Xenopus tropicalis: one gene and its partner. The protein of the gene in region 1 interacts with the protein of each later gene in a pairwise test. Links are inferred from orthologs where the notes say so. Each region holds a gene or a part of one and is shown on either strand. Other genes may lie near its edges.

What was found.
Region 2: the proteins of tk1 (region 1) and ptprk interact in a two-hybrid assay, tested with the Homo sapiens proteins (2 studies listed by BioGRID and IntAct). The link is inferred for Xenopus tropicalis from reciprocal best matches to the Homo sapiens genes TK1 and PTPRK.

The regions. Positions count from the first base shown.
Region 1 is NC_030686.2:26,189,665-26,193,389, reverse strand, and holds the end of tk1 (thymidine kinase, cytosolic), read right to left. Parts: intron 3,665-3,725; coding exon 3,551-3,664; intron 2,987-3,550; coding exon 2,893-2,986; intron 2,810-2,892; coding exon 2,720-2,809; intron 2,627-2,719; coding exon 2,507-2,626; intron 1,321-2,506; coding exon 1,126-1,320; 3' UTR 981-1,125; downstream 1-980. UniProt on the Homo sapiens protein: Cell-cycle-regulated enzyme of importance in nucleotide metabolism. Catalyzes the first enzymatic step in the salvage pathway converting thymidine into thymidine monophosphate.
Region 2 is NC_030681.2:68,144,308-68,148,755, reverse strand, and holds part of ptprk (receptor-type tyrosine-protein phosphatase kappa), read left to right. Parts: intron 1-1,721; coding exon 1,722-1,876; intron 1,877-4,448. UniProt on the Homo sapiens protein: Regulation of processes involving cell contact and adhesion such as growth control, tumor invasion, and metastasis. Negative regulator of EGFR signaling pathway. Forms complexes with beta-catenin and gamma-catenin/plakoglobin.

The DNA.
Region 1 (3,725 bases):
AGGATATTATAAGTCACCGAGGAGTTTTGTAGCCATATAAAGGCACAAAGCTGAGTACTTTTCTTATACAGGTCATTGAACTCATAACATCCTATTGTTTAAAATATAACAAATATAATACCCCCTGTTTCAGTGAGTCATCTGACAAAACATACATCACTAAGCACCAATTATATTGATAAGATTTACAGGATATTCATAGCTCTGTATGTGTATTATATATGTAACAAACTTACAAATATACAGTGATCTTGCTTTTACCATGAAAAACAGTTTTTGGTTGTAGGACTCCTTAAAGGTTTTTACAATCCAAATCAAAATAAATCTTTAAAGTTAACCCCACTGGATGTAGAAAACATCCTCTCTATTGTTCTAGCTCTGAATTATCACTGTCCCCTTGCATAATAACGGGATAAACTCCATGGGAGATTTTGATCAGATTTTTGGGTCAGGATCTCCATCTGATCTTCCAACAGGCATGTTGTGTCAGATGACAAATCTTTCATGCATTTTAACACATGATTTTTGACCTATACAACCACATCAAACTTGTAGAATGTATTTTGGCAATCCGTCACATCTTACAGGGGTTTAGTTCAATTCAAGATAAGAAAGAGGTAAGAACATTTACTACACATTGTCGTTTCCTTTCTTACACTAAAGGTCCCCATACACGGGCAGATTGTAGCTGCCGATATCAGTCCCTTAGACCGATTCTGCAGCTTATCTGCCCGTGTAGGGGCAGAAACGAGGGTCCTAGCCGACCGATATCTGGCCTGAAATTGGCCAGATCTCGATCGGCCAGGTTAGAAAATTCCGTCGGATCGGGGGCCGCATCGGCTCGTTGATGCGGTCCCCGAACAGACTGCCCCTTGCCGCCAGTATAATTTGATCGTTTGGCCCCACCGTAGGTGGGGATATCAGCGTGTATGGGGACCTTAAGCTTTTAGGGACATTTAAATAAATAACAAGACAGCACAAAAGAGCAAGATCTCCATTTAGAAGCCAATATTAATGTAAATACAGATATGCACGTAAAACATATACAAAAAAAATTAAAATAAGTCTTAAAAAAAACATACATTATACACATTAAGCAATACAGTAAGTTAGCTGTACAGTCCATTACAAGCATTGTCGTTGTGCAAGTGGCTTGCGTGGGGAACAAGCTGTTTGCAGCTTGTTACTAAGCTTTAAGGAAATGGTGTCTAGTGCATTATGAGAAAGCACATTCTCCTTCTCTACCGGGAGCTGCTGGTTTTTGAAGAAGCAAAGTCTGCAGACTGAGTGATATTTTTCAGCTCCTCCAATAACTTCCACCTGCACACAATGCAGAAAAAGGAGAAAAAAAAAATTAAATCTGATTCTATGAGATGGGGACCTGCACACACCATAACCTGCAGCCTTCTCAACCTAGGCCTTACCCAGTCTGAGGTTGAAAAGAGGCTTTTAAGACACCTGTCCCAACCCAAACCAGCCCATAAACATTATGCCACCAATGATGAGGCTAGCTTTTGTGGAGCCAGGCTCCACAGGCTGTGGCTGGGCAATGACAACCCACACCCAAAGTGCCGGCCAATTTTTTCCATCCAAATCTGCCCGACTGCCACATGTCACTGGCCCCTAATATATATTTTTCTTTTTAGCTCGTAATATGCAAAACTATTGTGGCAAATAAAGGAGGCAGCATCAGGATTACTGAGGGCTTTTAGAATGGATACAACTTAAGACTCAAACTAAAACTGCCATTTTATCATATAGCAACAAAAGGAAATTACGCAGCTTCACCCACTCACTGTGATAGAATAAAAAAAATGAGGTTACAATGAAACTGTAAAGGACATAATTTAAGAGTGGGAGGGAAGGAAGGAATGAATGTGGAAAATGCCTATATAGGGACCTGCATTTTAAATCCCTTTCTGGTCTGCAGGCTCATAACCTACAGGACACTAGCTGAAATTTGGCCTAATTAAAATTAACATTAATTCTTTTACCTCCTGCCTCAATGGCCATTACAAAACCCACATCAATTGAAGATTAACATGAGAATATACAGTAGGGGCATATTACAGTGTGTAAGGCAACATTACTGGCGATGTTCCCTATAGCAACCGATCAGCAATTCAATTTGGATGGTCACCTACAAGTTAGCAAATAAAAGCAAAGATTTGATTGGTTGCTATGGGCAACATCACCGGTGATGTTGGTTTATACTCTATAATAAATATGCCCCTATGAATATATCTAAACCAAATTAAGCAATATGGCCACACCATTTGTGTGTATGAAATTAAGTACAAGGAAAAAATTATTTGCACATTACCTGTATTTAAAGTACAATAACATAACAGAAATAATGCAATTTATTGGATTTACCTGTGAAGCAAAATATTTGCAATAATTTTGCTATCTGTCTATAGAAAACGTAGCTGGCATTTTTTGATGCACAAATAGCTCACATGCAGACAAGGACATAAATAATACCTCCAGAAGACTATTTACATACCTCCTTTTCTGCCCCTAGCCGCTTGGTGTATGCAGCCTCCCGATAACACTCCATGCAAACAGAGTTGAGTTTTACAACACTTTCTGCCAAAGGCACCAAATTCAAGATGTTTCCAAATGCCTAAAAATGTGCACAAAAAGGTGGTAAGGGCCACTTAAAACCCATGTAAAAAGCACAACACATTGCATTCTTATACTTGTAACTACAACTAACCTTCCTCTGAAATGTGCCATCCAGAGCTGCTACAATCATAGTCTTTCCACGATTTGCCATTTCCTCACAAAAATCTACAATGTCAGGGAACTGAATGAGAACAGAAGTTTTATTATCGGTCATCAGAAGTCAGGTGAAGAACGAACTTTAAAGTTAAATCAGGAAATACTCACAAACTGTCCTTCATCTATTCCTATAACAGAACAGGCCAAAGCTTCAGCGGAAACATCACGCAACTGGCAGGCAGATACAGCTGCCATTGTGTTCCTGCAAGGACAAACAAGCATTAACATCTCAATCTCTATACTTAACAGTTGCTTTAAAAAGGATGGGCACAGCAATGTAAAAATACTCTACATGGTTTGGAACAAAGAAGCACTGAAGTCCTCTGTAAAAGTAGTACAGTTATGGAATGCATTAGCTGGAAACCCTTTCTCCAAAAAGCTTTAAATTAGGGGAAGGCCATCTTCCATCGACTCCATTTTAATCAATAAAACAGTACCGTCTACTTTTGTTAATTTGTATTTAGATGATTTTGTGGGGTAAATTAATTTTGCTCCACTTTAACTCATATTTTAAGGTAACTACACTTCTGTGAATTCCCAAAAAGTGTTATTTGCCAAAAACATATAAACCATACTCTACACCATGAAGGTCCTGGCAATTATAGCCCATAACAATTGTTACCATGTTACCCAGTGCAGTCCTATATGATTTTTGGGCATGCTTTTTAAAATCAGTAAATACAAATGTACCACAACCAATGATATGCGATATTTCTATATGTAGATAAGATGAGCTTAACAATACAGAATGTGTAAAATTGCTTACTGGTCATGTGTAGCAAGATGCTCTTTGCTGTAGCGTGTATCTTTCGCATACTTTATAAGCATGCACTTGTACTGTGCAATCTGAAACCGTCGCACTCTGCGCATCAGCTCTGTGCTGTAAAATATACAGAAAATTTGTTCAGCAGAATAGGAAAATAAGCAGTCTCATGCGATGA
Region 2 (4,448 bases), on another chromosome or scaffold:
TCAATTATTTTGATTGTAGCCCAGTTAAATCTGCACTTAATGTTTACTTTTTTTTATACAAAATAAAATAGTACAAAGGGTGCACACTATATGCAGCAACAAAATCTGCGTGCTAGTACCAAAACAATACACTGGAACAAGGACAACGACAGATATTGCTATATATATATATATATATATATAAAATAGCTTTTTTTGCCATTTCGTTGCTAGCTAGATGAACTAAAGTAACTAGATCATGATAGATAAGGAAGCAGTTTATTGCTGGTCTTTCCATTGATTTAATAATGTAGTGCTTGGGGCTGGGATAAACCATTATAAGATAGATTTTTTTTTTTTTTTTGCAATGTAACTATGGAGATTTTCCAATGATTTTAGTGGTTTCTGTTTGCAGACAGCACCATCACTAATGTGAGTAAATACTGCTATACAGAAATTGTTTTATCCATGTACAAAATCAGTTGACAAGAGGTACCTGCTAAGTAGAATTTAACCCAAAATGGGATGCTTGACATTCTCTACCTGTGATGCTTGGAGATTTTCATTCTTAAAATTTCAGGGGAAGCAATTACCATGCCAGTGTCAATTATAGCTAAAACTGGGAATAAGTATACCAGGAATGTTCTTCGCTTAATTATGGAAAATAAAATACAAAGCTTGGTTAGCAGAAAAAAAGCAAACTGAAATGTATTAAGGCTGATTAATAATATGTAAATATACAGAAGCCTTTGAACCAAAAATCAGCGTTATTCTGTTATTGCTGTGTGTGGTTTTTTTTCTGGATGAAATTATGTTTTTGTTTGTTTAAGGGTTTTTTGGCATTCTTTAGAGTGTTCACTACTTTGAGTCCTTCAGTAGTTTTAGTAATGTTCACAAATTTGTTGTGGTACATGACTCCATTATTCTCCTAGTGAGCAACAGAATTGTTCTTTTAAAGCAATCTACTGGCCAGACTGTAAATAGCGCACTCCCTGTGTGTCTTTACTAGCATAGGCATTTTAAATTCTGCTGCAACATTTGAAGAGTATTGAGGCTAGTATTGCTAGGTTCTTATTTTGCATGGTTAATTGTTATTCTTACACATATATAGTAGAACACTTTATTCAACCATGGTTCCACTTGTTTTTACTATACTCCATTCCTTATTTGTGGTCACCCCCAGTTGCACACAGGCATCCTTCTTGAGCTCCACCTCCTTTGTTTTGCCCCTTCAAATTAGGGTCAATGAATGGGGACTGGCCAGCAAAATTGGTACATAATAAGGCCCAGCGTCAGACTGGGGTGTTCAGGCTATCAGGGTCCACACCAGTCGCTCCTGTGCACTGCCATCCTGATGCCAGCCCCCCTGTGCACCCTGCTCTCCACAGGTATCGACATGTAGCAAGGCCCACAGGGTTTTTTCCTGGTTTCCCTTTAGCCAAGTACGACCCTGGCAAGGCCCCAAGCATACAGCAATTGGTAGTGTTGTGGACCAATTCAAAATTATAAAGGCATCAAGAGACATTTTTGAATCATGGCTTCATACTGTTATAGTGCTGTTGTACATCAGGTTGGGTTCAGTAACAACTAATGCATTTCTTGCTTTATTGGGTTCTTTCAAAACGATGGGGCTTTTCTGATTTTTACTGGCATCTCTTCTTTCTTGGGAGCACCCCAAAGTTCTTTTTGTGAGAATATTTCCAGCTATCATAAACTCAATTATAATATTTTGTAATTTACAGAGAGGGTACAATGAGATCCGTGAAGTCAAACAGTTCCACTTCACTGGCTGGCCAGACCATGGTGTTCCTTATCATGCCACGGGTCTTTTGTCATTCATTCGCCGAGTGAAGTTGTCAAATCCTCCAAGTGCTGGTCCTATCGTGGTTCACTGCAGGTTGGTATTACTTTTTAAGCCTTTAGAGAATACACAGTCTGTTGACTTTGTTACTGAACTGTTCCCGCTGCTACAGATGCCACAATAGAATTTCCACCAGATGCTGCCAGATTAGCAGTGGGAAGAAATACATACGGCCTCATTCATATTGGTGTTTTGCCATTTACTTCTAAGCAGAATTTCAGACAAGTGGATTTTAATGTACTGTAACTAGCAGTCTTACTGTGCAGCTGTGATTAGTATGCATTACTGTCAGATATGGTTTCTAAATGCCATGGTACAGAAGGTGTATGTATTTCCACCAGCAGAGAAATGCCTGTCATTTCTGAGGCTGCCTACCATTGAATTGAATAAAAACCTCTATTAAAACCTTTAACCTCAACCCTCTACTGGAAACTGGAGAGCCCAGTGCTGAGACTTCTTATCTCCTCTATGTGCTCTTCCTACAAGAGTGAGGAGAAGATACAAGTGTCTCACTGGGTAAATAAAATCCATAAAATTCTTTAGAGCATTAGATAGTGGAGACCTACTACTTTCTATAAAGCATTTGATTAAGATACAGAAGATATACTGCACCTGAAATGTACGGAGAAAAGTACTTAGCCTTTATGTTAACGAGCTAGGCAATATTAATTGTGTACAGGTGTTTGACCCCTTATCCGGAAACCCATTTTCCATAAAGTTCAGAATTACGGGAAGGTAATCTCCCATAGACTCCATTTTAATCAAATAATTCACAGTTTTTAAAATGGTTTCCTTTTTCTCTGTAATAATAAAACAGTACCTTGTACTTGATCCCAACTAAGATATAATGAATCCTTATTGAATGCAAGACCATCCTATTGGGTTTAATTACTGATTAAATAATTTTATTAGCAGACTTAAGGTAGGAAACTCAAAAAATAAACTCGCTCAAAAATAAATGTAAATATTAAATTAATTTAAGAACCAAGCATTAATCTATTCAGCTGGTTCAAACGGCAGAAATCAATTTGTACCAAATATAAAGAAGAGACCCGGGTGTTCATACCCCGGGTCTATCGCACAAGTAGAAAACAGAAAGATCTGATAAGCGATGAATAAAGGCTCACCATAGTCCAAAAATGGGCCGGGTGCTCAGGGCCCCGAACCCGTAGCCAAGGTAGAAAATCCAAAGATTGTAAAGGGTAACTCCAAGCGCACCGGACAACAGGATAGTCTAAGATATCCTGTCGTCCGGTGCGCTTGGAATTACCCTTTACAATCTTTAGACTTAAGGTAGGAGATCCATATTATGGAAAGACCCCTTATCTGGAAAACCCCATGTACTGAGCATTCTGGATAATGGGTCACATACCTGTACCTTTTTATGCAGTATGTCTTACCTCAGGCAAGCAATATTATGTCAGATTGCCCTAATATGTTTAATATAAACTATACTTTCATACTTTGAGTTGTATAAGCCTGCCACGCTGCATGCCTTGGCTGAACAATTAAATCCATACACTTAAGTGCTGGTCATTGGGAATCAACTAGGATAGGTAAGCTGTTTGGCAGCTCCCACACAACAAGTTGAAATATGGTAGGAATGTTCCCTGCACACACTTAATTATACCTTTAATATAATTAAATGCTGTAAATGGTCTAAGCAAAGTACAGGTATAGGACCTGTTATCTAGAATGCTCGGGACCAAGGGTATTCCGGATAAGGGGTCTTTCCGTAATTTGGATCTCCATACCTTAAGTCTACTAAAAAATCAATAAAACATTAATTAAACCCAGCAGGATTGTTTTGCATCCAATAAGGATTATTTATATATTAGTTGAGATCAATTACAAGGTACTGTTTTATTATTACAGAGAAAAAGGAAATCATTTTTACATTTCTGAATTATTTGATTAAAATGGAGTCTATGAGAGACAGGCTTTCCATAATTCGGAGCTTTCTGGATAACGGGTTTCCGTATAAGGGGTCCGATACCTGTATAAACATTCAGAAAAGCTTCTATATAATATATATCATCTTTTTAACCTACTTACAAAACATTAACTTCAGTAGCAATCATGGCAAAAAAGTAATTCAGGTCTGGAAATTGTGGAAAGATTATGGAAACAAAGTTTCACTTTAAACCAAAAGAGGTATTAAGCCATTTAATAGGCACCTATTACAGGATATCAAAGTGGGAAAAATGAAAATATATAATATCCTTTATGCAGAAACCCCTCACCCCCCTCCCTCACATGGATGTGAGAACGAACAGGATTGTCCTGTGAGAAGTGCAGGTGAGGGGATGTCTAGGCAGAGGAGGTGCCTAGCCCTCCCCCACCACCACCATTGCACCCTTGGCAGGTGCCTCCTCTCCACACCCCTAGTTCCAGCCATGTCGCACATAAACTTCATTTTAATCAAACAATTTACAGTTTAAAAAATGATTTCCTTTTTGTCTATAATAATAAATCAGTAGGCTGTACTTGATACCAACTAAAATATAATTAATCTTTATTGGAGGCAAAACAATCGGTTTTATTGAATGTGTTAATGATTTTTCCCTCACATCCCAACAGGCAGCACTTACATGCTCCACCCTGTAGG